2 linked regions of the Arabidopsis thaliana genome follow. The protein of the gene in region 2 purifies or fractionates together with the protein of the main gene of each other region. This does not show direct contact. Each region holds a gene or a part of one and is shown on either strand. Other genes may lie near its edges.

Region 1 (3,889 bases), 5.3 Mb from region 2:
TTGAGTATCTTGGATGTGAATTCTCTGGTGGAAGATGCGGTTTCAGGTAAAGTTATGGGGAAGAACAAAGAGTATTACGGTGTAGGGCTATGGACTTTAGCTTCATTCATCAACCACTCGTGTATCCCTAACGCAAGACGTCTTCACGTTGGAGACTACGTGATTGTTCATGCCTCGAGAGATATCAAAACAGGGGAAGAGATTAGCTTTGCTTACTTTGATGTGCTTTCTCCATTGGAAAAACGGAAAGAGATGGCTGAGTCATGGGGGTTTTGTTGCGGATGCAGTAGATGCAAGTTTGAGAGTGTCTTGTATGCTACCAACCAGGAGGTTAGAGAGTTTGAAATGGGTTTAGAGAGAGGCGTAGATGCAGGGAACGCGGTTTATATGGTGGAGGAAGGGATGAAGAGATGGAAGGTAAAAGGGAAAGATAAAGGGTTGCTGAGAGCATCTTATTGGGGAGTTTATGATGAGATTTATAACTCAGAGAGACTTATGAAAAGGTGGGGAAGGAAGATACCAACAATGGAAGTTGTGGTGGATAGTGTCTCTGATGTTGTTGGAAGTGATGAGAGATTGATGAAGATGGCTGTGGAAGGGATGATGAAGAAGCATGGAGGTTTCAGTAACATTGTGGAGATGGAGAAAATCATGAAGCTAGGGAAGGGGGTTTATGGCAAAGTGGTATCGAAAAAGAAGGCAATGAAGACTCTTCTTGGCATAGAGTAACAAGTTACAAATGTTGAAACTAATTGCTTGTAGGATCAATAGAGAGAGTAACCATTTTGGTTTTCTGTAATTCCTTGCCTCATGGAAGGAAACATCCAATGATATTATTACAAAGACATTCAAATGGAAATAACACTTGTTTTGTTGCAAAACATTTGTAGTCAAAGAATGTCATATATGAAAAAAGCCAGTTCTACAAAGAAATTGGATGAGTAGTGTGCATAAAAAGAAAACGATGATTTTGAGTAATTTATTCGTCGATCCAATTATCCTGATTAGCACTTCCTCCGGTTCTGTCTTGCAGCAACACATCTTTCTCATTTTTCAACTGGTTAACTAGCCTGCGGACGCTAGGAGTCTGGAAGCGATCCTTAGCGGATGTCTTCGATTGAGTTATTAACCCTTTCTTGGCACTAGGATACGGTTTAGGAGGTGGATCCTTATCTTGCATTACCGCAAGCTCCTTTAAGCGTTTGTATGCTTTCTTCATTTCCTTTCTCTCTGAAAGATATTCCATCTGAAAAATCATCAAAACACAAACTCAGCAAGTTCGAAGAATAACATCTCCCATGTTCAAAGAAACGGCATCAACAGCAGCGGTACTACGATTCATATCTATTCAAGTATCGTAGCTAATCATAGACTGTGAAAAGAAAATACGTACATTAGCTACAGACATGGCGTCACCCTCACTGATGCCATGCTCCTTCAATTCAAGTACCCGGCAACCATACACACGTGCTTGATCTGGAATAAATGCTGATATCCTAGGTAATTGAAGATGATGCAATGAGAGGGAGATAGATACAGAATGAAAAATGGTGAAACTCTCCCATTGAATCAGAATTTAAGAGTGACACGTGCTTATAGTAATGGGTTCAAGACAAAATTGTTTGAAATTAAACTTCTTTCTATAGTGATGCATATCAGAATAAGCTTTATGAAGAACTAACTCATAACATAATCATCAAACTATCTTTGATACAAATGCAGAGATATAAAAAGTTGAGAATTTTACTTGGCAGGGTCATCAATTTTGGTTCCAGGATGCTTATTAGCGAATTTACGAACGTAAGGATCCTCAGGGAGAACAATCTTCTGGATTTTTCCATTGGAGCGAGGAAACACAGGAGGTGGTGATCTGCCATTAAAACCAAATCACAGAACACTCATTTCAACAAAACCCTCAAAATCCTAATTCACAGATGCCAAAATCTCAACTTTTTGTGCGATTAGAATTCAATTGCATCCGAATTAGAAACCCATTAACGGATGATTCAATAAGGAAGTATCAAATTGATCAATCGAGCCAAATCATTTGGAGAAATAGAAATGGGAGAAGAGAGGGTTACGCTTCCATGGCTTTAAGCCAAACAGGCTCTCGTGTAGCTAAGCCACCAACAAGCCTCCTGGTTTTGGAAAGTAAATCACCTTTCATCCACGACATTGTTGCTGAGCTTCTTCACTTTTCTTCTTCGCTTGATCTGTTATTGTTTTACCAGAGACGACGAAGACACAAGGGTTTCAGAAATGGCTCGATTTGATAAAACCTCATGGTTCATGAATTAAACCGGGTACATCACACTCTAAATTACGGTCTAAAATCGGTTAACAGAGCAATTGTATGGTTCGTATGTCAAAACGCAGCCGTTTCGTAAATACATTTGCCTTGATAAATTTTCACCTCTTTTGGGTTTCTTCTACTAGTCTTCACTTCCGTCAGCTATAGCTTTGGAGAAACTGCATCAATGGCGTTGAGATTGACATCGCTAAAACGCGCCGCGGTTGAGTCCTGTCGCATTTTGGAAACCCGAAGCTTAAGTCATGTCGCTGCGATGCCTTCCCCCTTGAACGGAGCTTTTGATCGCCCGATTTCTATGCCGCCGCTGGTTTTACCTGAGTTCGATCAGAATCAACCGGGTTTGATCGAAGAAAAGAGCTTCGGGTTCGGGCTTCCTAGTTTTGCTTTTAATGGATCCATGGAGCTAATGGCTGTGCCTAAGAAGAAGGTCAAAGAACTCTCAGTCCCTTAATTAGTTTTCTCCTTTCGTTTTCCACTTCTGAAATGATAAAATTTCTTAGGGTTTTGATTTATTGTGGTATCTAGGGTTAGCTTTTTTGACGGAGTCAGGGTTTATCTAGGGTTTTAGGAAGGTGCACTATAGGACTTATTAGTTGATTATGCAATTGAGATACTAAGTGCTAGATTGCTTCTTCTATAGAATCTATCTAAGAAATGTTGTCTCTTTGTGTGTTTTTGAGTGTCCATTGTTTTTCCATTTGCTTGTGTATCTTTGGGTTTAAGTTGATTTGGTTCCTTACTTCCTTTAGGTTCACATGTGAATGAAAATGTGTAATTTTTAATGGCTCCTTGGAGAATGATAGTGTTAATTGAAGCTGTTCTTGATGAAACATGCAGATTTCTAAACACAAGAGAGGGATAAGAAATGGTCCAAAGGCTCTTAAGCCTGTTCCTGTGATCATCCGTTGCAGGTAAGAGATTAGCTTCTCTTCTTTTTCTTTTTTTTTTTGTCCGCAGATTAGCTTCTCTTCTTGTTTTATCTGTTTGATGCTTCTTAATATATCCATTAGGTTGAGTTTGGTATGGGTGTTTAGTTTTGAGGCTGTGATAGAAAAATTCTGTTAGGTTTATCTAGGTTGTTGTTGCTGCAGCAACAGCTGAAGAATAAATGCATATGCTTTGTGATTCATTGTCTCTCCTAACTATCACTTGGTATAAACTGCACTTGAGTAACTAGAACTGTGTATCGTTAACATGTTTGACGAAAGACCTACTTGTGTGCAACATGGTACAAAATATGAGTCTAGTTGTTCGGTTTTGGTATATGTTTGATTTAAAACTTCTTTTGTTTTCATGATCTCATTGTGAGGGCACTTGTATCAGAATTTTATATATGCCGCCAGTTTAAGTGCACACTCTTTTGTGTTTCCAGGAGTTGCGGGCGAGTCAAGCTGCCACATTTCTTCTGTTGCAGCGGTGAGCGGCTAAACCCTACTGAGTAAGGCAATTCGAACAACTGGTCATGGTTTCCAATATGATTACTCCTTGTTGGATATCAAGAGGATAAAATCTTGGCTTTCTTAGTAGTACACTAGAATGATAAAAGACTTAGTTGATGCTGTTTTGGCAAATTATTGT
Region 2 (4,018 bases):
TAATAAAGGACAACACATGAACTTTAAAACTGACCTAAGCATGGGCACTCAATAAGGAGATAACCATTTCAGCTGAATATCAGTTCCAGGCCTCAAGATGATAGAGAGCCTCTTGACTCCCCTGCTTTGAAACAAACAGGATACAACAAGTGTTCTATAAGATTTCTATCTTTTTAAGTTTTTTAACAGAATTGACTGCGGCCTCAGCGGTAAATGTAGGATGCGGCTTTAGAAAAAGTAATGGAGTCATACTTAGCACAAGGCAGTTAACTAGTTCTTACTTAAGGCAACCTAATCACATAGATACTACAACACACAAATCAAGAGAATGCAAGATCAAATCAGTTCTAATGTGACATATACTTTACTTTACCTCTTTGACCAGTTACACCTTTCTTGCTAGCAGCGGGACCAATTCTCATAGGTCTAGTAGAACAAGGAACGCCATTCATCTCCGTCATAGCACGGATCTGTTCACTTTCATCAGAAAACCTAACAAACCCATATCCTTTTGTACGTCCAGTGACTCTGTCAATAACAACCTTTGCACCCTTCACTGACGGATAAGAGGCTCTGAACGTCTCAAGTAAGATATAATCCGTAACATCAGCAGCCAGATCACCGACAAATATCGTGTAGTCCGGTGAATCGTCTCGTTTATCTCCTGAACTCAATGATGCCCAGTTCAGTCTAAAGAGCTGATCAGGAAAGCTCGGGATAGGAGCGTTGTTGAATGTTTGTAGAACTCTTTCAGCAGCAGCATGAGATGCGAATTCAATGAAACCGTATCCTTCAACTTGACCGGTTTGCTTGTTACGAATCACTTTAGCAGAAACCATCTGCAAAATAAATACTGATAGTGTTAAACCAACTAGTCATTATATAACTAGACAGAACACTCATTAACTCATTGTCGGAAAGAGATTACATATTAAAAAAAATTCAAACATCTAAAGTTAATCTTTTTACACATCAAAATCAAATCTTTCAAATATAAAAGCGAGGAAACAATTAACACTAACAAGTACTTATCAAATTAACCTTAATCTCCTTCGAACAAACAATTAAGCGCGAACGATAAAGCGAAAACAGAGAGATCTGAGAATATTACCTCTCCGGTATGAGCAAAGCAACCGTAGAGGAAATTCTCATCCATCCAATACTGTAAGTCCCCGATCCAAAGAGTCCGGATCTCGTCAGCGGTCGTAGGCTGAACTGATGGCGGCGCCGCCGCTTGAGGATTCCACATCTGTGGTGGTGGTGGAGCAGCTCCAGCAATCCCGTAAGGTTGTTGGTAACCGTACTGTTGTTGCGCAGAAGGAGGAGGAGCGTGATGTGGAAGGATACCTCCGGGTGGTGGCTGCTGCATCATGATGATCGGAGAATAAGATAGAGAGAAAGAACTCTTTTGAATCTCTGACCGTAGAAAAATTGTGATGAAGAAGAAGATAACAAAACAATGCTAAAGATGAGAGATTGTTGATAACCCTTTGAGAAGGCGGCGGTTTGTAATAAAACGATATGTGTTTTACTATATAAATATCCTTTGGTGCTTGTAATCACAAGGGATCCGTGGCGCAATGGTAGCGCGTCTGACTCCAGATCAGAAGGTTGCGTGTTCGATTCACGTCGGGTTCAAACCCCCGGTTTAAACATGATCCTTAACTTTTTATTTAACTTTTTAAAAAATATCCTAGATTCAATCGGAACCGTCCAAGTTGCTGACTAGTCATAAAATCAACGGATGATATGAATTATGTATATGATTTAAGTAAACCATTGAAATTAAAAATTTTATTTTGTCAAACCCCTAAACCGGTTTAAACCTCTTCTCTCTCAGCCGTCGTCTCCATTTCTTCGGGGAAATCATGAACCCTAGTAATGGCGTTCCTCTTCCGCATTCGAACATCGGAATTTATACTCCAGAAAGCGACTCAATTCCGATTGAAGTCTTCTTCTTCATCTATCTTCACACTAAAATCTCTCACTAGCAAGCAGAAGAAGAGCCGAGATACTCTCTCCCTTCTCAAATCCGAGAATAATCCTGATCGAATCCTCGAAATCTGCCGATCCACTTCACTCTCACCTGATTATCACGTCGACCGTATCATCTTCTCCGTTGCGGTGGTGACACTAGCGAGAGAGAAACACTTCGTCGCTGTATCGCAGCTTCTCGACGGTTTCATCCAAAACCAACCCGATCCAAAATCCGAGAGTTTCGCAGTCCGTGCCATTATCCTATACGGCAGAGCGAATATGCTTGATCGATCTATACAAACATTTCGCAACCTCGAGCAATACGAGATCCCAAGGACGGTGAAGTCTCTAAATGCTCTTCTTTTCGCTTGTTTAATGGCTAAGGATTACAAAGAAGCGAATCGTGTCTACCTCGAAATGCCGAAGATGTATGGCATTGAACCTGATCTCGAAACTTACAATAGAATGATTAGAGTCTTGTGTGAATCAGGTTCAACGAGTTCATCATACTCCATTGTTGCAGAGATGGAGAGGAAATGGATAAAGCCAACAGCTGCTAGCTTTGGTTTAATGATTGATGGTTTTTACAAGGAGGAGAAGTTTGATGAAGTGAGGAAAGTGATGAGAATGATGGATGAATTTGGTGTTCATGTTGGTGTAGCTACATACAACATTATGATTCAATGTTTGTGTAAAAGGAAGAAATCTGCAGAAGCAAAGGCGTTGATTGATGGGGTTATGTCTTGTAGGATGAGACCAAACTCTGTGACGTATTCGCTTTTGATTCATGGGTTTTGCAGTGAGGAGAATTTGGATGAAGCTATGAATTTGTTTGAGGTTATGGTGTGTAATGGATACAAGCCTGATAGTGAATGTTACTTCACTTTGATACATTGTTTGTGTAAAGGAGGGGACTTTGAGACAGCTTTGATCCTTTGTAGAGAGAGTATGGAGAAGAATTGGGTTCCGAGTTTTAGTGTCATGAAGTGGCTTGTTAATGGACTAGCAAGTCGTTCAAAGGTCGATGAAGCAAAGGAGCTCATTGCGGTAGTTAAAGAGAAGTTTACCAGAAATGTGGACTTGTGGAATGAAGTCGAAGCTGCATTGCCTTTGCCTCAGTGAACAAAGGTACACATAGAAGAAGTCATTCATCTTCGATTTGACATGAGGATTTGAAGTTTTTGAGATTGGTTAGTTTAGCTGAAATCATCTGTCAAAATTGAAATGAAAGGGGATATAGTTTGAAGAGAATCTTGTCGTTGAGATTAAGAAGCTATCTCTCTAAGGATTGGTGCTGGTGAATTATCAATTTTCTTACTGAATTTTTTTGAACATGTTGTATATAAATGGAATGTAACATTTTTCAATATATCGGAAACGATGAGCCTAATCGCTTCATGGCCTTGCTGATGAATTGAATCTCGAATGTCTTTTGTTGGCATGGGACCATGTTAGCTTCATGAAAATGTCCATCAGGTTAAGCTTATGTAAGACCAAAACTCTTCATTATAATGATATTTACATTCTTCTCCAAAACAAAAAAATAAAAGCATCATATCTAGCCATTCCAAATACTGGAACCAGCTTCTTCTTCTACCTATACCCACCTCTGAAAAGCCCGGAAGCCAAAGCAAGCTAGGAACATAACAGCAACCACCGAGTGTACGACCCATATCAGTGTTGTATTCAACTTTTTGGCAATCTTGCTTATATCCCTCAATGTAGATGCTAATATACCCGCTTTCGATAAATACCACAAGCTTACCATTCTTCTCATTGAAGAAACTTAAATATCTACAACCATATATCGGAAGCCGATCTGTTATAGCAACTGCCACCAGCCAGCTCCAATGCAGCTTCTTCTTCTTCTTCTTCACCCATAAGTGTATGTTACTTGTTAAGCCGCATTCAAGTAACAAAGAGAGTTGATCTCTTCTGAAAATCCCTAAAGAAAGATTATTCATCAAATAAGATAACTCACTCGAAAGATAAAAAGGAGGACGAACCAAGGGCTCAAATCTCTCTTTTGAGAAATCAAAAC

What was found. The genes of interacting proteins can lie anywhere in the genome.
Region 1: the proteins of AT1G11630 (region 2) and AT1G26750 fractionate together in Arabidopsis thaliana (co-fractionation; one large-scale study listed by BioGRID). This does not show direct contact.

The regions. Positions count from the first base shown.
Region 1 is NC_003070.9:9,245,144-9,249,032, reverse strand, and holds AT1G26750 (uncharacterized protein), read right to left. Parts: upstream 2,177-3,889; coding exon 2,082-2,176; intron 1,871-2,081; coding exon 1,748-1,870; exon of another isoform or gene 1,497-1,747; coding exon 1,394-1,496; intron 1,247-1,393; coding exon 980-1,246; 3' UTR 759-979; downstream 1-758. Other genes in the region: SDG35 (SET domain protein 35), read left to right, coding at 1-729; AT1G26740 (Ribosomal L32p protein family), read left to right, coding at 2,478-2,738, 3,149-3,222, 3,684-3,753.
Region 2 is NC_003070.9:3,912,249-3,916,266, reverse strand, and holds AT1G11630 (Tetratricopeptide repeat (TPR)-like superfamily protein), read left to right. Parts: upstream 1-1,801; 5' UTR 1,802-1,881; coding exon 1,882-3,099; 3' UTR 3,100-3,513; downstream 3,514-4,018. Other genes in the region: RBP45B (RNA-binding (RRM/RBD/RNP motifs) family protein), read right to left, coding at 374-839, 1,112-1,372.